2 linked regions of the Pelodiscus sinensis genome follow. The protein of the gene in region 2 purifies or fractionates together with the protein of the main gene of each other region. This does not show direct contact. Links are inferred from orthologs where the notes say so. Each region holds a gene or a part of one and is shown on either strand. Other genes may lie near its edges.

Region 1 (9,798 bases), on a different chromosome or scaffold from region 2:
GGTCTATTCCCTGTGGATATTCAGAGTATACTCCTTTATGACTATGTCATGGTGTTTCAAATACAACATCAACATGTGCAACCCTTTTTTAGGTGAAGAGGCCACCTCTGTCACTGAAGATCTAATTTTTATCGTAACTAAGAAACATTCAACAAGACTATACATAAAATAGGCAGCCATACCATCAAGTTAACATGTATTTTCCATTAAAACGTGATGATCAAAGTTACAAAAATTAATAAATCTGCAATTAAATACAAGCAATAGATTTCCCCAAAGCTTTTTTCCCATTAAAGTAACAGGATCAAGGGACTAAAACTGCCCAACTCATATTAGTTAATATTTTGAAAAGAAGTCTTTTAACTATGTGCTGTGATTTCCTTGATTAATTTACATTTTCTGATAGTGACATTTTCTTTAATGAATGTAACTGTTGAAGCTTTTCCCTACAAGTAGACTATATAACCCTATGCAATGATCAAGAGTTGTTAGAATTTACAATTTAAACATCATTGGTCTGGTGTTTAAGATTCACCCACAGAATTAAAAGGCTGCACATAAATATTGCTTGACTTAAACAGTATGAATGTCCAGAAATATAAACTGTACTATTGTTCCCTCTAATTTTTTATTGTCCGTATATGGAATGAATTTTCTTATGTGCACCAATGTGGAGGTAATGTGCAACACATTACTTCCGTAATGGTGCACATAAAATTAATTCTACACAGGGGCAATTTGTGATGGGGCTGAGGATTCAGTGTTGGAGGGGCTCAGGATTGAGGGGGTGAGGGCTCTGGTTGGCAATGAAGCTTTTAGGGTGCAGGAGGCTCCAACTTAGGGGTTTGGCATGTAGGAGCGAGCTCAAGGCAGAATGCTGGGCTGGGATGCAGGGTCAGGGAGTTAGGATGCGGGAAGGGGCTCAAGGCTGGAACAGAGCATTGGGACAAGGGATACTTACCTGAGGCAACTCCTATTTTATAGTGGGATGAACAGATGATTCCACACACACCTGCAAGCACCTGCCCCATAGCTCCCATTGGCCACAATTCGCTGCCAATGGGAGCTGGGGCTCACAGGTGAGGGATTTGCAGGGACAGAGGACAGCAGCACGCAGAGCCAACTCCCTTCCCCTTTGCCAGGAAGGACTGGCCCATAAAACAGAGGTTAAAAGGGCTTCAGCCCAGGTGCCTGGACTAAAAGCCTCCCCCTTAGCATGGGGCCCCAGGCTGCAGCTCCTAAAGCCCCATTCTTAATCTAGCCCTGCTGCTGGAGCCAGGAGAATGTGTTTCTCCTCCAGTCTTAGCAAGGAGCTACTGCAACCAGGGAAAAGGCACCTTTCCCTCCTCCACAATAGCTTCCATTGGCTCATCAGGCACCTACAAAGCCATGCATCTTAGAGGGAACTCTGAATTATGTGTGCGCAAAGCCAATTACATATTGATCTTTTACATAATCCAGCCATCTTTATGAACATATCAGAGCACTGCACTTGCACCCAGGATGAATAAGGAATTCAAAGTAGTTTGCTTTGTCAACACTAGCTCCTACATATCCTATTAAGAGAAGTTAGCAAAAGCAGCTTGAAGTGTGTGCACTCTGGCTCACTAAAAGTAAACAAACATCTTATTTGTACAATAAAGTCAACTGTTGTCTATAATTGCTTATTGTGTTATTTCACATGACCTTGAGTGACAGGTTCAGATAGTATGAGCCTCCCAAATAATTTAGGTTCTACTGTACACCTTTCAAAACAATAAATGGATTATGAAAAGTAATAAGGAGGAAAGGAGAATAACTAAGGGCATTATTCTCCACCTCTTCGCAAAACACCCACTGCCTTCAATGAGAGCTCTACATGCAGAAAACTTCCAGAATTGAGCTGTAAAGGAACTTTGCATCTTATTAATATGCACCCAGCACTTAAAGCACCTCTGCTGAGTCACTCAAGAGATTCCATCACAAGGACTAACAGTTCTTAAAATATTCCAAACTTCAACAGAATACTTTGAGTACATTACACTATATCCAGTTTTTTTAATTTTCTGACAATTCTTTAGAAAACATACGCTGACATTTTAAAATTCATTCAGAAAACCCCTTGTGCAAAATGTTTTATTTAAAATGCAGCATTTTATAAGGTATTTCTCAGTCTCCCTTGCTAATTGACAGCATAAAGCAAACAGTGAAAATGGTATTTAAATGAAGTGCTATCAAATGCACGAAGTTAAGAAATTCCAAAATACAGAAAATTCTAGCTTTTTGCAGTATTGACCATCTTAGAAGTTCCTTGTAATAGTGTTTAAAAGATATTTAAAAATCCAACTTTGCACAAAAGTTCTAACCAAATGAGTTTAAAGCTACTGACCCAGACCTTTGTAAGTCAGCATGCTCTTTATAGTTCAGTTGGCACTGAAAACAGAGCATACTCTAAGTGACATTTCTGAGCACAATAATTAAAAATTAAAGTAAACTCAGTGTAAATTACTATGCTTATCGAATCATAGAGCTGGAAAAGACCTCAGGTGGTCATCAAGTCCAGCCTCCTGCTCTAGGCAAGACCAATCCCAACTTACAGTCAAATGAATTTTGAAAATACTAATGCAAATATCAATACCTAATTAAGTCTGCTATTAAGGCTTATCACTTGTATACATTTATACACAGCTTAGAATCAAACAAGTATTAACACACAACATGAACCAAAGTGTTATACCTTTAAAAACCATCTTAAAGGATCAAAGAATGATAACTATGAAAAATCAAACTACTTCCAACACTGAGTAAATATCCCCATTGAAACCAATTTATTAAAAACACTTCAAGACAATAAATCTAGAAGACAGAGTGGACACCTATCTTAACTGTTATTGCTTCTGTGAAAAGCTCAATGGGACAGGAGGTCAGGTCATGTTCGAATCGCACACATTCCCTACAATACCTGTGAAAAGGTTACAGAAACTATAATCTCATTCTGATCCAATGTTTACATGGAAATACCACCCAGAATCTCAACCAGAACAACACTTGCAGACGTCAGGCCACATGTCAAAACACGAGGCTATGATGACAGCCCACTGTCTTAGTTGTGCTGTTCTAGGGAGGGATACCGGGCGTTACTACCATTCGATTTCTTATCTGCTTTCGTGGAAAACTCAGTAGTAAGGATTTGGAAGAGCAACCCTCGTGAGAGCAGCGCTGGGTGGGAAAGAGGCATGAAGAGTGAACCGTCCCCCTGGGGAAGGTCTGCAGCAGCCATCAAACCCATTCCCCAGGCCAGTATCAGAGGGGTCGCTGTGTTAGTCTGAATCTGCAAAAGCGACGAGGAGTCCTGTGGCACCTTATAGACTAACTGCAGTGTAGGAGCATAAGCTTGCGTGGGCAAAGACCCACTTCGTCAGATGCATTCCCCAGGCGAGTCACCTCAGCACTAAGCCGTTTGCCAGAGGGGGCCTGCTCGGCGAGCAGCGTGACAGAGGCACGGTCCCAGCTGAGGCCGCTCCTCCCCCGGGCAAGGCGCACGTGGCGCAGGCCTGGCCCTGGGCACCTTGCTCCTCACCTGTTGATGAAGCCGTAGCCGTTTCTTACGTTGAACCATTTTACTGTTCCCAAAACCTTCGTTGCTGAAAGGGAAAACGTGACAGTCACGTGACGCCCCGCCCACGCAGGGCCGCCGAGCCAGGCTCCCCACCGCGGGCTCAGCGAGGCAGGCGGGCCGGGCCGCACCGCACCGCGCGCCGGGGGCCCCGGGCAGGCACGTGGCTAAGCGGGTTTCACACAAAGGCCCCGCGTGGCGGACATTTTGAGTGGCTCCGCGCCCGCCCCGCCCCCATCCGCCGCCGCACGCGGGGCTCAACGGCTCAAGCGGCGCGCGGGGGCCTAACGGCCACTGCGCGCGCACCAGACAGGGGTCTCGCGCCTTCCTGCGGGGGAGGAGGGATGACGCCCACAGACCCCTCCCCTTCCCCCCCTCAGCCCCCTCACCGATGACCTTCTTGTCCCCGCCGGCGGGGGGCGCCGCCGAGGCCAGGCCGCTGCCACCGTTGCCTGTGCCGCCGTTAGGTTTGGACTCGGCGGGGGCGGTGGGCGCCGCCGCGGGAAGAGGGGCGGCGGGCGGCTGGGTCTCGGCCTCGCTGCTCATGGCGGCGGCTGTTCGGTGCGGACGGTGGTGGTGACTGGCTGTTGCGCCGCCTCCCGCAGTGTGATGGTGACTGGGGCCGGCCGTGGGGGGGGGGCTGCTCCCTGCTCCGGGCTCGCTGGGCTCCGCTCTCCGCTCCCGATACCGATCGAACTGACCACAATGGCGGCCCGCACCGGCTAGCCACCCAGCACGCACCGCCCACTAGCTCTTTCACTGGCTGCGGAGCTTGCCCGTCACGGATCGTGCAAACCCATTGGCTTTTAGAAATCCGCCCTCAGGGGCTTGTCACACCCGTTGGCTGTGGCTCTCGCCCATCATAGAACGCGCTCCGTTATTAGGTGTTCTTATCCCGGCCACATTTTTGCTAGCGCCCATTGGCCGTCGAGCCTGCCCATCATACAACGCGTACACCCATTGGCTGCACGAATCACGGCTGCCGGGACTTGTTTCGGCCTGGTTCGTTACTCCTCCCTTTTGGAGCGTGGTTGGTGCAGCATCCCTGTGATCCCGCCTTCTGCACCTGGGAGGGAGCGGAAGGGCGCGGGCCGGAGCACGTGGCCTCGGTTGAACTCGTGCAGTTATCTAGGGGCACGTGCTCAGGTCGGAGCTGGGGCAGCCTGGCCCTCGCCTCCGCACACAGCCCCGCGGCGCCCAGTCTAAGGGGAAGTCTCTGCCTTCTCGCTGGCAAATAGGACTGCCACCTTGCTATTGGTACAAAACCGGCACACCCCAGCCTAGCCCCCAGAAGCCCCCCAGCATGTCTCTCAGCCCAGCTCCAACCCCCCACACACACACACACTATTCCTGTCTCATATGAAGCACCTTCACACATGTTCCTTGAAGGGCCCTGATGTGAATCTGAGCAGATCCCATCAGTCTGAGAGAAGTCCCCTGAGGCCTGAGCACTTCTAGGCTTGGAAGATGGTTTCTAGCTAGAATAATATAGCCAGTTAACACAGGCCACCCCAGGAATGGAGCCAGCTCTCCAATTTGGAAAGCATGATAAGGGACCCACTGAAGGTAGGGGGGTGGACTGGGATTTACAGTGAACTTGGAGCTAGGGCTTCAGCCTTTGGAGCACAAGATGGTGGGCTCAATCCCACACCCACCCACCCAGCAACAGGGCAGCTAACACCGTCTGCCCCAGGGATTAACCTAGCTCCTGCATTAGGAAAGCAGGATAAGGGACCCCCTGGAAGATAGGGAGGTGGAGTGGGCTGGGGTTAAGGCATTTGCTTGCAGAGGGCAGGGCTGTGAGTCCAAGGCCCTCCACCACCAGGAGCAGCTGGACAGTGGTAGAGGCTGGCTGATGGCAGTAGAATTGAAGATCCAGACTGTGAGAATCAGGACTAGGACCCAACAGTGCTTTTTGCTCCACTGGTAGCTTGTATCAGAGGGGTAGCCGTGTTAGTCTGAATCTGCAAAAGCGGTGAGGAGTCCTGGGGGTCTTTGCCCACGAAAGCTTATGCTCCAACACTTCAGTTAGTCTATAAGGTGCCACAGGACTCCTCGCCGCTTTTACAGGTAGCTTGTATCACTGCTGTGTGTGCTAGGAGATGGAAGTTGCTTTGTACATAAATGATCTAAAAGGATATTCCTATTTGCCAATGTGATCTGCTCCCCTGGCTGTCCAATCCATGATATTAGGCTGTGAGCCACACCCTCTACAACTCCACCTAAGTGGACTGAAGAATTGAAGAATTGCTCAGAACCGTGCATTTCCCTGCTGTTGTGTATTCATTACCAAGGGGCCAACACATTATCAATAAGCTACAGCCTATACTGGTGTTGGAGTCACTGGGCATGATCCTAGGTAACTCGGGGGAGTGGAAGATCACAAGGATCGATGAAGAGCCCCCGCTCTAGGCCCAAGCACCCTAAAAGCCCCCTTCCCCCCCGAGACATAACTTTTCTCTAGCTCGCTAACAGCTGGGAACAGCAAGACATTGAAAGTTGCCTAGTTACTATCAGTGGTATAGAAGAAGAATTCAGATGTGTTTCTGTAGAGGAGGAGGAGGGGGACTGGCAGCATGTCCCAGCCTGGGAAACTTGCTACAGTTCACTATTCTCCTGCAAGTAAACAACCTGGGTATATAAGGAGGGAAAACTGCTTACGTTGGTGTGCCTGACCTGAGATGTCTCCTGGAACCTATTTGAGCGTTCAAATAAATTTTTTTTGGCTTCTCCACACCGGTGTGTTTATTGGAGCGCGCACACCGGGCAACAAACCCAGCTGTTGCCCCCCTCGGGCACTGTGTGCCGGCAACACTGGAACAGGATACCATACCCCAAGAGGCTCTGGGAGACAGACCCATAGTCTCCTATAGACAACCACCTAACCTCAAGATGATTCTTACCAACAACCACAGGACATACCACACTAAGACCAACCCTGGTACCTTCCCTTGCAACAAACCCCGTTGCCAGCTTTGTCCACATATTCATTCTGCTGATACCATTGTTGGACCTAACCAAGTGAGTTATAAGATCAAGAACACACATTCCTGCGCATCCAGAAATATAATTTATGCTATCATGTGCCGAAAGTGTCCGTCTGCTATGTACATTGGACAAACAGGTGACAACCTGGGAAGCAGTGATCATGAGAAGGTAGATTTCAGGATACTGACCAAAGAAAGAAAAGAGAATAGTAAAATACACACCTTGGACTTCAAAAAAAGCGGATTTTGACTCCCTCGAAGACCTGATGGGCAGAATCCCCTGGGATGCTAACATGAAGGGGAAAGGAGTCTAGGACAGCTGGCAGTATTTTAAAGAAGCTTTATTGAAGGCACAGAAAGTAACCAGCCCTATGCGTAGCAAGAGAGGCAAACATGGTAGGAGACTGGATTGGCTTACAGGAGAAATCCTTGGTGAACTTAAGCACAAAAAGGAAGCTTACAAAAAGTGGAAACTTGGACAAATGACCAGGGAGGGGTTTAAATGTCTAGCTCAAGAATTCCGGGGGGTTATCAGGAAGGTGAAAGCGCAAATGGAATTGCGACTGGCTAAGGATGTGAAGGATAACAAGAAAGGTTTCTACAGTCATGTTAACAAGAAAAAGGTGATCAGAGAGGGTGTGGGGCCCCTACTCGATGAAGGAGGTAAGCTAGTGACAGATGATGTGGGGAAAGCTGAAATACTCAATGCTTTCTTTGCCTCTGTATTCATGGACAAGGTGGGCACTCAGACTAATGCGCTAAGTGACACAAGATGGGATGAAGATGGACAGCCCTTTGTGGGTAAAGAACAGGTTAGGAACTATTTAGAAAAGCTAAACGTATACAAATCTGTGGGTCCCAACTTAATGCATCGAGGGTACTGAGGGAGTTGGCAAATGTCATTGAGGAGCCTTTGGCCATTATCTTTGAAAAATTGTGGAGATCGGGAGAAATCCCGGATGATTGGAAAAAGGCAAATGTAGTGCCCATCTTCAAAAAAGGGAAGAAGGACGATCCAGGGAACTACAGGCCGGTCAGTCTTACCTCGGTCCCTGGAAAAATCATGGAAGGGATCCTTAAGGAATCCATTTTGAGGCACTTGGAAGAAAGGAAGGTGATTAGGAATAGTCAGCATGGATTCACAAAGGGCAAGTCGTGCCTGACCAATCTGATTAGCTTCTATGATGCGGTAACTGGCTCTGTGGATATGGGAAAGTCAGTGGATGTGATATACCTTGACTTAACAAGGCTTTTGATACGGTCTCCCACAACATTCTTGCCAGGAAGTTAAGGGAATGTGGATTGGATAAATGGACGGTAAGATGGATAGAAAGATGGCTAGAAGGCCAGGCCCAGCAGGTAGTGAGCAACATCTCGATGTCAGAATGGCGGTCGGTTTCTAGCAGAGTGCCCCAAGGTTCGGTTCTAGGACCGGTTTTGTTCAATATCTTTATTAATGACCTAGATTACGGGATGGATTGCACTCTCAGCAAGTTTGCGGATGATACTAAGCTGGGGGATAGGTAGATACGCTTCAGGGCAGAGATAGGATCCAGAGTGATTTAGACAAATTGGAGGATTGGGCCACAAGAAATCTGATGAGGTTCAAAAGGACAAGTGTAGAGTCCTGCACTTGGGACGGAAGAATCCCAAGCATAGTTACAAGCTGGGGACCAACCGGTTAAGTAGTAGTTCTGCAGAAAAGGACCTGGGGGTTACAATGGATGAGGAGCTGGATATGAGTCAAAAGTGTGCCCTTGTATCCAAGAAGGCTAATAGCATATTAGGTTGCATTAAGAGGAGCATTGCCAGCAGATCTAGAGATGTCATTATTCCCCTTTATTTGGCTTTGGTGAGGCCACATCTGGAGTATTGTGTCCAGTTCTGGGCTCCCCACTACAAAAAGGTAGGAGAGGGTCCAGCAGAGGACAACCAAAATGATTAGGAGGCTAGAGCATCTGACTTATGAGGAGAGGCTGAGGGAGTTGGGTCTGTTTAGTCTGCAGAAGCGAAGAGTGAGGGGGGATTTGATGGCAGCCTTCAACTTCCTGAAGGGAGATTCCAAAGAGGATGGAGAAAGGGTGTTCTCAGTAGTGATGGATGGCAGAACAAGGAGCAATGGTCTCAAGTTGTGGTGGGAGAGGTCCAGGTTGGATATTAGGAAAAACTCTTTCCCTAGGAGGGTAGTGAAGCACTGGAATGGGTTACCTAGAGAAGTAGTGGAGTCTCCATCCCTAGAGGTGTTTGAGTCTCGGCTTGGCAAAGCCCTGGCCGGGTTGATTTAGTCTAGAGCAGGGGGCTGGACTTGATGACCTTCTGGGGTCTCTTCCAGCTCTATGATTCTATGAACACTCCTTCCCGGCTCTCTGTCCTCAGCAAAGGTGCTTCTGGAGCAGAGAGCGAGAGTGAAGACAAAGATATAGGCACCCCCAGGATACTGTTATAAGCTTGTCCATGCAAAGAGAAATCCATTATTCTCCTGAGTAATGGTACCTCCCAAAATGGAGCTGATCACATGATCACCGTGTCCTTTATGGGCAGGAAGCCATGGAGTATCCAGGTATGTGCTCCCGAGGCAAAGGGCCATTGTATGCTCCTCAGGTGTCAATTGGCAACACTTACGAGCCTTTGCCCATGAAGCATTCACTATTCATTGGGCCACCACCACCCGCAATTTGTGGTCAATGCCTACTGCTGTCTCCTAGACAGAAAATATATACAGAGCCCATATTCATAAGTATATGAGTAGCATAGACAGAATCAGCATAGCACAAGCTTACATTAGACACCTCATATGGCCCACTCTGCAGAGAATTTGGGGCAAACACACAACAGTGGATGCAACAGTGATCTGCCTGGTCACATTAAAATCCAAAACATGACATCTGGATATGAGTCAACAGGGTGCCCTTGTAGCTAAGAAGGCTAAGGGCCTACTGGATTGCATTAGTAAGAGCGTTGCCAGCATATCTAGGAAAGTGATTATTCCTCTTTATTCAGCATTGGTGATTCCACACCTGGAGCATTGCATCCAATTATGAACCCCCCATTAAATGTGGACATATGGACTCATTAGAAAGAGTACAGCGAAGGACAACAAAAATGATTAGGGGCTGGAGTAGAGATGTAATAGTGTAGTGCAGTGTTCTTTTTCAAGGATGTCCCTGCGGGTGCTCCACTGTTGGTGCTGGGCTTGCCCCGGTGCCGCAGACAGAG
Region 2 (9,591 bases):
GCTGAGGATTTCGGAGCGGCAGACTCCCCACCTGATGGCTGAGGCTCTTTGTACCCTAAGCCTGGGAAGGAGCTGCGAAAGAAAAGCAGGGCCAAGAGCCCCCACGTGCACACCCCCTCGTACTACGCGTGACTGACAAGGGCAGTGCTGATGGAAAGCAGGTGGCGCACTACAAACCAGTCGAGCAGCGAAACGTACTCTGGTCACTGCTCCAGGCAATGGCCACTCTGGCTTCCATGTAGATGTTGAACGTCAAGGGCCAGGAATTCACCGGGACGCAGGCTTGCGCTCCATTTGCCAGTACTGCCTTGCTGCGCCGGGCCCCACATGCAGCACCTGGCCAGGACTGGGCCCCACACAAACCCTCTCAGCCTAACTGAGATCAGAGCTGCACAGCCCCCCTTGTGCCAGGTGCTGCAGACTCCCCCCAAGGCGAGATCAGCGCCCCCCACAACCCAGACACGCCCGGGCTCCCATCACACCAGGCGTTGCACAGACCCGGTGAGTCACCACCTGAGCCAAAGATCGGGGCAGGCTCCTGCCCTTCGGCACGTTGGGGAACAGGCTGGGCAGCACAGCTGGGTGAGCAGTGGCAAAGCTAGGACGCCAGTGGCCTTACGCAGTCACACATGCTTGAGGGTGTTGGCAGGGGTCTGTGCAGTCTGCTGCAAGGGTCCCTGATCTCAGCAGGATGGCCAAAAGATAACACGGCTGGACCCAGCACCTCGCACAAGGGAGGGTCCCAGTCTGAGCTGGGGCCTGGTCTCAGGCAGTCTCTAAATCCCCCGATGGAAACTCCTACGGACGCACTTGTCCCTGCTCACGCTAGCTGAGAAGGCCCAGGGCAGCACCCAAGTGTTCATCTCAGGGTCAAATGGCCAGGGTGCAGAAAGGGGAATTCACCCTCAGGGCGGCAGTGAGACCTGGGTCAGCAAAGTGACTCAGCGGGAGAAGCCGGGGCAAGAACCTAGGCATCCCGGAGGCCTGACCCAGAGCCAACACTTCAAGCAACTTTCACTTTCCACTCCCGGCGTCTCCCCACGGCAGAGAGCAGGTTCACAGCGGCACCGACCCTGAAACGCTGTTCGCAGGGGAACGGACACAAGAATGTTAACATTCTGCTTTCAATCCTCAGCCTCATGACTGGGGAGGGGGAAAGGAACATTTCTCCCATGCTCCGAAAGTGCATTTCCAGAGAGGTACTCCAAGGCATGCTGCGGCTTCCAAGCGCTAGCACCAACTCCGTGCAGTGGTGGCAGGACAGAGGCGAGGCACAGGCCATGGTGGGCTCAGAGTGAACACGAGTCAGATCTGAGCCGGCACCAGCCTGGTTTTCATAAGCACTAACTGAGCACCCCTGGGACTCAAGTCCCCCGTGGTACGAGCAAAACCAGAAGCTGTCGAGGTTCCCCTGAAGCCTCCAAAGCAGCAGGCCCCAGCCCCAAGCCATCTCCTAGTGAGCTCACAAGAGAGACAGGTCTGACCTCCTACCCGGGAGGCTCCAACTACTTGTCCAGCCAACCCCCAACCACTCCCCACCCAATACTTTCACCCAGCCACAGATTTTTACACCTGGGGAATCCTAGAGGGACCCCCCCCTCCACTTTGCCTCATAGGAGCATCTTCAGAATCACGGTCTCTGCGACATCGGGACGGGCGTCTGGCCCAGTGAAATGCCCAGGTGCCAAAATTCACCCCACGTGTGGGGCTACGGATGGTGAGCGGAGGCTACGGTCAGCCCGCAGGCAAGGACAAACCTTAAGCTTTGGACACAAGTCAGAGCATCTTCGAGCAATGCTCACACCTGGAGCAGAAGAAGTGAGCCGTGGAACCCCGCCTGCACATGAAGACCCCTCCCCCAGCAATCCAGACAACAGTGCAGGGCAATCCCTCCGAATACAGACACAACAACGCTGGCTGCTCAGTACAGCAGAGGCCGTACGTGGTCAGCAGCCCTTCAGCCTCCAAAAATACAATCCCCGCATCCTGGCCAACGCCACCAGGAGCCTGGGTTTAGTTCCCGAGTCTCACCCACCCACCTTCAGCAAGGGGGCTCCGCCTTCCACGTGCAGCAAGTCAGTGCCTGCTCCCTCCCCATGAGGCACCATGAGTGCAGCTAACACACCAACATACACTGAGGGCTACTCCCCAATGCACACACTCATCTCTAGTATGGCACGGCAGTAGCCAGAGGGGGCCCTGTTGTGCCAAGCAAGCCCACTCTGAGATGGGGGGCCCCCCATCATGTCACACGATGGATGGGCTCCCTCAACCGAAATTGGCAGTCCCCTTACTGCTGCTGACAAATCTCAGGGGCTCCCCCATCACACCAGAATCCTCTCGACCTGGATCAGTCCCACCCCCATCACAATGCTCTGGTCGAGTCCTCTTCCCCGCCGGCAGCTAGCTCTTGGGCATTCATCACAAGTCCTGCAACCCAAGCCCCAGGAGTCACTTCAATTGACCTCCAGTACTCTCAAGTCCAGAGAGCCCCACCAGAATCCTGACCCACAACAGCACAAACTGCCCAGGGACCCACTATTTGGGCAGGGACGAAAACAGCATGTGATTCTGACACTGATCTGATTTTTGAGACACTTGGGGCAGGCATGGGGAAAGCTGTGGGGTACACCCCTCCTGAGAGACCACCCCACCAGGAATGCACCTGCAGCCCTTGGTTGTGCCCCTTGGGGTGGGATGTAATGTTTCAATGACCTCTTAAGAGCCTGCGGTGAGCAGGGGCAAGGAGGTTTGCCAGCTGCTCTTCTTTGGCGCTACCTGTGCTGTTACTGCCTGGACTTCTCCCAGTCCAAAGACACAGAGCCCGTTTGCCAGCGCACTGACCCCCGTCTGCAAGCACTGGACCCCCAAGGGCGAGCAAGCAGATGAGGCAGGGGTCTGGCTGGAGGTCTCTGCACAGCCCAGGCCGGTGTCACAGCGCAGGGTCTCAGCTCCCAGGTACGGCAGCCCCGTGTCCCCGCCAGGCCCCCCCCGACCCCGGGCCCCGTGTCCCCGCCAGCCCCCCCCAACCCCGGGCCCCCGGCCCCGTGTCCCCGCCAGGCCCCCCCCGACCCCGGGCCCCCCGGCTCCGTGTCCCCGCCAGGCCCCCCCCGACCCCGGGCCCCCCGGCTCCGTGTCCCTGCCAGGCCCCCCCCCCCGGGCCCCGTGTCCCCGCCAGGCCCCCCCCGACCCCGGGCCCCGTGTCCCCGCCAGGCCCCCCCCCCAATCCCGGGCCCCCCGGCTCCGTGTCCCCGCCAGGCCCCCCCCGACCCCGGGCCCCGTGTCCCCGCCAGGCCCCCCCCCCAATCCCGGGCCCCCCGGCTCCGTGTCCCTGCCAGGCCCCCCCCGACCCCCGTGTCCCCGCCAGGCCCCCCCGACTCCGTGTCCCCGCCAGGCCCCCCCGACCCCGGGCCCCCCGGCTCCGTGTCCCTGCCAGGCCCCCCCCGACCCCGGGCCCCATGTCCCCGCCAGGCCCCCCCGACCCCGGGCCCCCCGGCTCCGCGTCCCCGCCAGGCCCCCCCCGACCCCGGGCCCCTGCCAGGCCCCCCCCCGGCTCCGTGTCCCCGCCAGGCCCCCCCCGGCTCCGGGCCCCGTGTCCCCGCTAGGCCCCCCCCGGCTCCGGGCCCCGTGTCCCCGCCAGGCCCCCCCGACCCCGGGCCCCCCGGCTCCGCGTCCCCGCCAGGCCCCCCCCGACCCCGGGCCCCTGCCAGGCCCGCCCCCGGCCCCGTGTCCCCGCCAGGCCCCCCCCGGCTCCGGGCCCCGTGTCCCCGCCAGGCCCCCCCCCCCGGCTCCGTGTCCCCGCCAGGCCCCCCCCGACCCCGGGCCCCGTGTCCCCGCCAGGCCCCCCCCGACCCCGGGCCCCGTGTCCCCGCCAGGCCCCCCCCGGCTCCGTGTCCCCGCCAGGCCCCCCCCCGACCCCGGACCCCGTGTCCCCGCCAGGCCCCCCCCGGCTCCGTGTCCCCGCCAGGCCCCCCCCCCGACCCCGGACCCCGTGTCCCCGCCAGGCCCCCCCCGGCTCCGTGTCCCCGCCAGGCCCCCCCCGACCCCGGACCCCGTGTCCCCGCCAGGCCCCCCCCGGCTCCGTGTCCCCGCCAGGCCCCCCCCCGACCCCGGGCCCCCCGGCTCCGTGTCCCCGCCAGGCCCCCCCCGACCCCGGGCCCCGTGTCCCCGCCAGGCCCCCCCCCCCGACCCCGTGTCCCCGCCAGGCCCCCCCCGGCCCCGGGCCCCGCCAGAAGGACCCGGGCCCCTCGCTGTCCCCGGCGGGGGCGGGGCCGGGGGGCGTGACGGGCCGGCGGGGCAGGTGGGCGCGGGGCGGCAAAGGGGCCGTTGGCGCGCGGGGGGAGGGGCGCGAGCCGGGCCGTTGGCGCGCGGGGGGCGCGAACCGTTGGCAGCGGGGGCGTCGCGAGGGGCCCAGCTGGCGCGAGCTGACCTTTGACCTCCCTCCACACCCCCAGGTGAGGGGCGGCCCCGCCCAGGGCAACGGGGGCCGCTGTGACGCACTCGGGGCCCCCGAGCGCGCGCGAAGGGGAGGGGGAGGAGGGGCCGCCGCGAGCGGGAAGGAACCAACGGCCACAGCCCCCCGCGCGCGCTCCCCCTCCTCTGCTGGCGCGGGGCCCGCGAGATGGGCCCGTCCGACTCCCCCCGCGGGATGGGGCCGAATGGTCCCGTCCCCCACTGTCTCCTCCCTCCCCCGGTCACTCACAATCTCTCCTCATCTCCGCTCGGCGCCGCCGCCATTTTCTTCGCAGCGAAGAACCCGCGGGGAGTGAGGGGGGGCGGGGGGGAATAGACCGAGCCGGAGAGGAAACCCGGACCGAAGAGCCCGCCCCTACAGCGGCCATTGGGCGCCGCCGCTGTCGCTCAATGCGCCGCCCCGCGCTCATTGGTTACGCCGTTGGCCCCGACGGGCGGGGCCGGTGCGCTCCCGGCGGCCGTTGGAATTGGCGGGAAGCGCTGTCAGTTACAACGTTCTAAAAGGGTGGGGCCCGTGGGAGCGCGCGCGGATCCTGATTGGGCCCTGGCGGCCGCTCACCTCGCCCATTGGTCCGGCGGCCCATCCCTCACTTTACTAAGGGGGCGGGGAGAGGCCTCAAGCTACGGAGATTTGAAATTTAACGGTTTTAAACGGTTTTTCTCTTCAGCCGTCACCGCAGTGCGTTCCTCTCGCGGTTTCTCCCGGCGCAGACGAGCCCGCTGGCGACCCCCGCACACCAGCAGCTCCCGGCCCCTCCGCCAGCGGCACCGGACACTGCCTGGGCCTCGCAGCCCCCCACTCCGGCCCTGGGCACCCGGCGCCCCGCCTGCCTCGTCACAACATGGCTACCCCCGCCACGGCCCCTCACAGCCCCCACCATCCCAGCCTGGACGCCCCCTCACAGCCCCCCCATCCCAGCCTGGACGCCCCCTCACAACCCCCCCCCATCCCAGCCTGGACGCCCCCTCACAGCCCCCCCATCCCAGCCTGGATGCCCCCTCACCCCCCCCCGCATCCTAACCTGGACGCCCCCTCACACCCCCCCCCTGCATCCTAGCCTGGACGCCCCCTCATCCCCCCCTCATCCCAGCCTGGACGCCCCCTCACCCCCCCCCCCGCATCCCAGCCTGGACGCCCCCTCACACCCCCTCATCCCAGCCTGGACGCCCCCTCACACCCCCCCCCCCGCATCCCAGCCTGGACGCCCCCTCACCCCCCCCCCCCGCATCCCAGCCTGGACGCCCCCTCACACCCCCCCCCGCATCCCAGCCTGGATGCCCCCTCACCCCCCCCCCGCATCCCAGCCTTGACGCCCCCTCACACCCCCCCCCGCATCCCAGCCTGGACGCCCCCTCACACCCCCCCCCGCATCCCAGCCTGGACGCCCCCTCACACCCCCCCCCCCGCATCCCAGCCTGGACGCCCCCTCACACCCCCCCCCCCGCATCCCAGCCTGGACGCCCCCTCACACCCCCCCCCCGCATCCCAGCCTGGACGCCCCCTCACCCCCCCCCGCATCCCAGCCTGGACGCCCCCTCACCCCCCCCCCGCATCCCAGCCTTGACGCCCCCTCACACCCCCCCCCCGCTTCCCAGCCTGGACGCCCCCTCACACCCCCCCCCGCATCCCAGCCTGGACGCCCCCTCACACCTCCCCCCCGCATCCCAGCCTGGACGCCCCCTCACACCTCCCCCCCGCATCCCAGCCTGGACGCCCCCTCACACCCCCCCCGCATCCCAGCCTGGACGCCCCCTCAAACCCCCCCCCCCGCATCCTAGCCTGGACGCCCCCTCACACCCCCCCCCCGCATCCCAGCCTGGACGCCCCCTCACACCCCCCCCCCCGCATCCCAGCCTGGACGCCCCCTCACCCCCCCCCCGCATCCCAGCCTGGACGCCCCCTCACCCCCCCCCCGCATCCTAACCTGGACGCCCCCTCACACCCCCCCCCCCCGCATCCTAGCCTGGACGCCCCCTCATCCCCCCCTCATCCCAGCCTGGACGCCCCCTCACACCCCCCCCGCATCCTAACCTGGACGCCCCCTCACACCCCCCCCCCGCATCCTAGCCTGGACGCCCCCTCATCCCCCCCTCATCCCAGCCTGGACGCCCCCTCACAACCCCCCCCCATCCCAGCCTGGACGCCCCCTCAGACCCCCCCTGCATCCCAGCCTGGACGCCCCCTCACCCCACCCCTTATCCCAGCCTGGACGCCCCCTTGCACCCCCCCCCGCATCCCAGCCTGGACGCCTCCTTACACGCCCCCCCCGCATCCCAGCCTGGACGCCTCCTTACACGCCCCCCCCGCATCCCAGCCTGGACGCCCCCGCATCCCAGCCTGGACGCCCCCTCACCCCCCCCCCCCCCCGCATCCCAGCCTGGACGCCCCCTCACACCTCCCCCTGCATCCCAGCCTGGACGCCCCCTCACATCCCCCCCCCGCATCCCAGCCTGGACGCCCCCTCACAACCCCCCCCTCATCCCAGCCTGGACGCCCCCTCACAACCCCCCCCTCATCCCAGCCTGGACGCCCCCTCACAGCCTCCCCCATCCCAGCCTGGACGCCCCCTCACAACCCCCCCCGCATCCCAGCCTGGATGCCCCCTCACAACCCTCCCCTCATTCCAGCCTGGACGCCCCCTCACAGCCCCCCCATCCCAGCCTGGACGCCCCCTCACAAACCCCCCCCCCGCATCCTAGCCTGGACGCCCCCTCACCCCCCCCCCGCATCCCAGCCTGGACGCCCCCTCACAGCCCCCCCCCCACATCCCAGCCTGGACGCCCCCTCACAACCCTCCCCTCATTCCAGCCTGGACGCCCCGTCACAGCCCCCCCCGCATCCCAGCCTGGACGCCCCCTCACATCCCCCCCCGCATCCCAGCCTGGACGCCCTCTCACAAACCCCCCCCCCCCGCATCCTAGCCTGGACGCCCCCTCACCCCCCCCCCGCATCCCAGCCTGGATGCCCCCTCACCCCCCCCCCCCCCGCATCCCAGCTTGGATGCCCCCTCACAACCCCCCCCGCATCCCAGCCTGGACGCCCCCTCACACACCCCCCCCCGCATCCCAGCCTGGACGCCCCCTCACCCCCCCCCGCATCCCAGCCTGGACGCCCCCTCACACCCCCCCCCGCATCCCAGCCTTGACGTCCCCTCACACCCCCCCCCGCATCCCAGCCTTGACGCCCCCTCACACCCCCCCCCCCGCATCCCAGCCTGGACGCCCCCTCACACACACCCCCCCCGCATCCCAGCCTGGACGCCCCCTCACACCCCCCCCCGCATCCCAGCCTGGAGGCCCCCTCACACCCCCCCCCCCCGCATCCCAGCCTGGACGCCCCCTCACACCTCCCCCCCGCATCCCAGCCTGGACGCCCCCTCACACCTCCCCCGCATCCCAGCCTGGACGCCCCCTCACACCCCCCCCCTGCATCCTAGCCTGGACGCCCCCTCACACCCCCCCCCCCCCGCATCCCAGCCTGGACGCCCCCTCACACCCCCCCCCCCGCATCCCAGCCTGGACGCCCCCTCACCCCCCCCCGCATCCCAGCCTGGACGCCCCCTCACCCCCCCCCCGCATCCTAACCTGGACGCCCCCTCACACCCCCCCCCCCCGCATCCTAGCCTGGACGCCCCCTCATCCCCCCCTCATCCCAGCCTGGACGCCCCCTCACACCCCCCCCCCGCATCCTAACCTGGACGCCCCCTCACAAACCCCCCCCCCGCATCCTAGCCTGGACGCCCCCTCACCCCCCCCCGCATCCCAGCCTGGATGCCCCCTCACACCCCCCCCCCCCCGCATCCCAGCCTGGACGCCCCCTCACAACCCTCCCCTCATTCCAGCCTGGACGCCCCCTCACATCCCCCCCCGCATCCCAGCCTGGACGCCCCCTCACCCCCCCCCCCCGCATCCCAGCCTGGACGCCCCCTCACAACCCCCCCCCCCGCATCCCAGCCTGGACGCCCCCTCACAACCCCCCCTCATCCCAGCCTGGACGCCCCCTCACAACACCCCCCCCCCCCCGCATCCCAGCCTGGACACCCCCTCCGAACCCGCCCCCCCGCATCCCAGCCTGGGCATCCCATCATAGCCCCCCGACATCCCTCACAGTCCCCCCCCTGTATCCTATTCTGCCTGCTCTATCACAGCCCCCCATCTCGCATGCTGCCCCATCACAGCCTCCCCCACATCCCTGCCTGACTGCCTCATCAGAGCGCCCTGCCTGGCATCCCAGCCTCCCTGCCCCATTACCCGCACACACATTCCAGCCTGCCTGCCCCATCATGGCCGTTCCCCAGCATCCCAGCCTACCCACCTTGCTACCCCAGAGCCTCCCTGGGCCTCACAACATGGCCCCCCGTCACTTCAAATCCGCACTGGGCCCCCAACATAGTCCTCTCATCATGCCAAGGCCACTTAGCTCTCCAGCTTGGCTGCCCCCCACCTCGTCCGCTGGCCTCCCTTTCATGCCAAAGCCCCCACAAGGTGGCTGCCTTGCCATGACTCCCCGCTCTCCCCAAAGTGATCACCCCGTCATGCCACAGCTCTCTCAGTCGCCCAGCCTGGCCTCCCCATCACTCCATGGCCACCCCGTCATACCAAGGCTGTTCTCTCCCACAGCCACCCCCCGAGTCCACCATGCCCCTCTCCTGCTCTCCCCCATTACTCGTGACTCACGCCCAAACCCCCGCCTGCTGCTTTGGCCTCTCAGCAGCAGAGGCTGCGGCCAAAGACCTCCTGCCATTCAGCGGGGAATCGCAGCTGCGCTAGCTCCAGCCCCAACCCTGTGGGCAGCCGTGGGGCACCCTATTGAGCCACCTATGGCTGAAGGCATTGTGTCAGTGCATGAGAAATGTGCCCCCCCAGCCCATGGACTGTCACAGCCTGGGCCCTCAACCTACCATCTGGTCTTCAGGGCACCCGCTGTCTGGTCAGTAACCACCCCAGCCCTCCAGCAGGGGGCGCCGCTCTCCCATCTCTGCTGGGCCCTCCCGTTATATGGGCCATGCTTGGCACGAGGCATCTGGGCAAAGGGCTGGGAGCCAGGACTCCTGGGTTCTCTCCCTGGCTCCAGAATAAGAAGGGAGTTTTCTGGGTCAGGGAAAGGGCCCACCCATG

Evidence for each region. The genes of interacting proteins can lie anywhere in the genome.
Region 1: the proteins of MECP2 (region 2) and YBX1 purify together in Homo sapiens (affinity purification with western blotting; 3 studies listed by BioGRID, with this or other methods). This does not show direct contact. The link is inferred for Pelodiscus sinensis from reciprocal best matches to the Homo sapiens genes MECP2 and YBX1.

The regions. Positions count from the first base shown.
Region 1 is NC_134733.1:3,157,176-3,166,973, forward strand, and holds the start of YBX1 (Y-box-binding protein 1), read right to left. Parts: upstream 4,302-9,798; 5' UTR 4,142-4,301; coding exon 3,985-4,141; intron 3,624-3,984; coding exon 3,560-3,623; intron 1-3,559. UniProt on the Homo sapiens protein: DNA- and RNA-binding protein involved in various processes, such as translational repression, RNA stabilization, mRNA splicing, DNA repair and transcription regulation.
Region 2 is NW_027465896.1:72,174-81,764, reverse strand, and holds the start of MECP2 (methyl-CpG-binding protein 2), read right to left. Parts: upstream 4,856-9,591; 5' UTR 4,738-4,855; coding exon 4,703-4,737; intron 2,765-4,702; exon of another isoform or gene 1-2,764. UniProt on the Homo sapiens protein: Chromosomal protein that binds to methylated DNA. It can bind specifically to a single methyl-CpG pair. It is not influenced by sequences flanking the methyl-CpGs.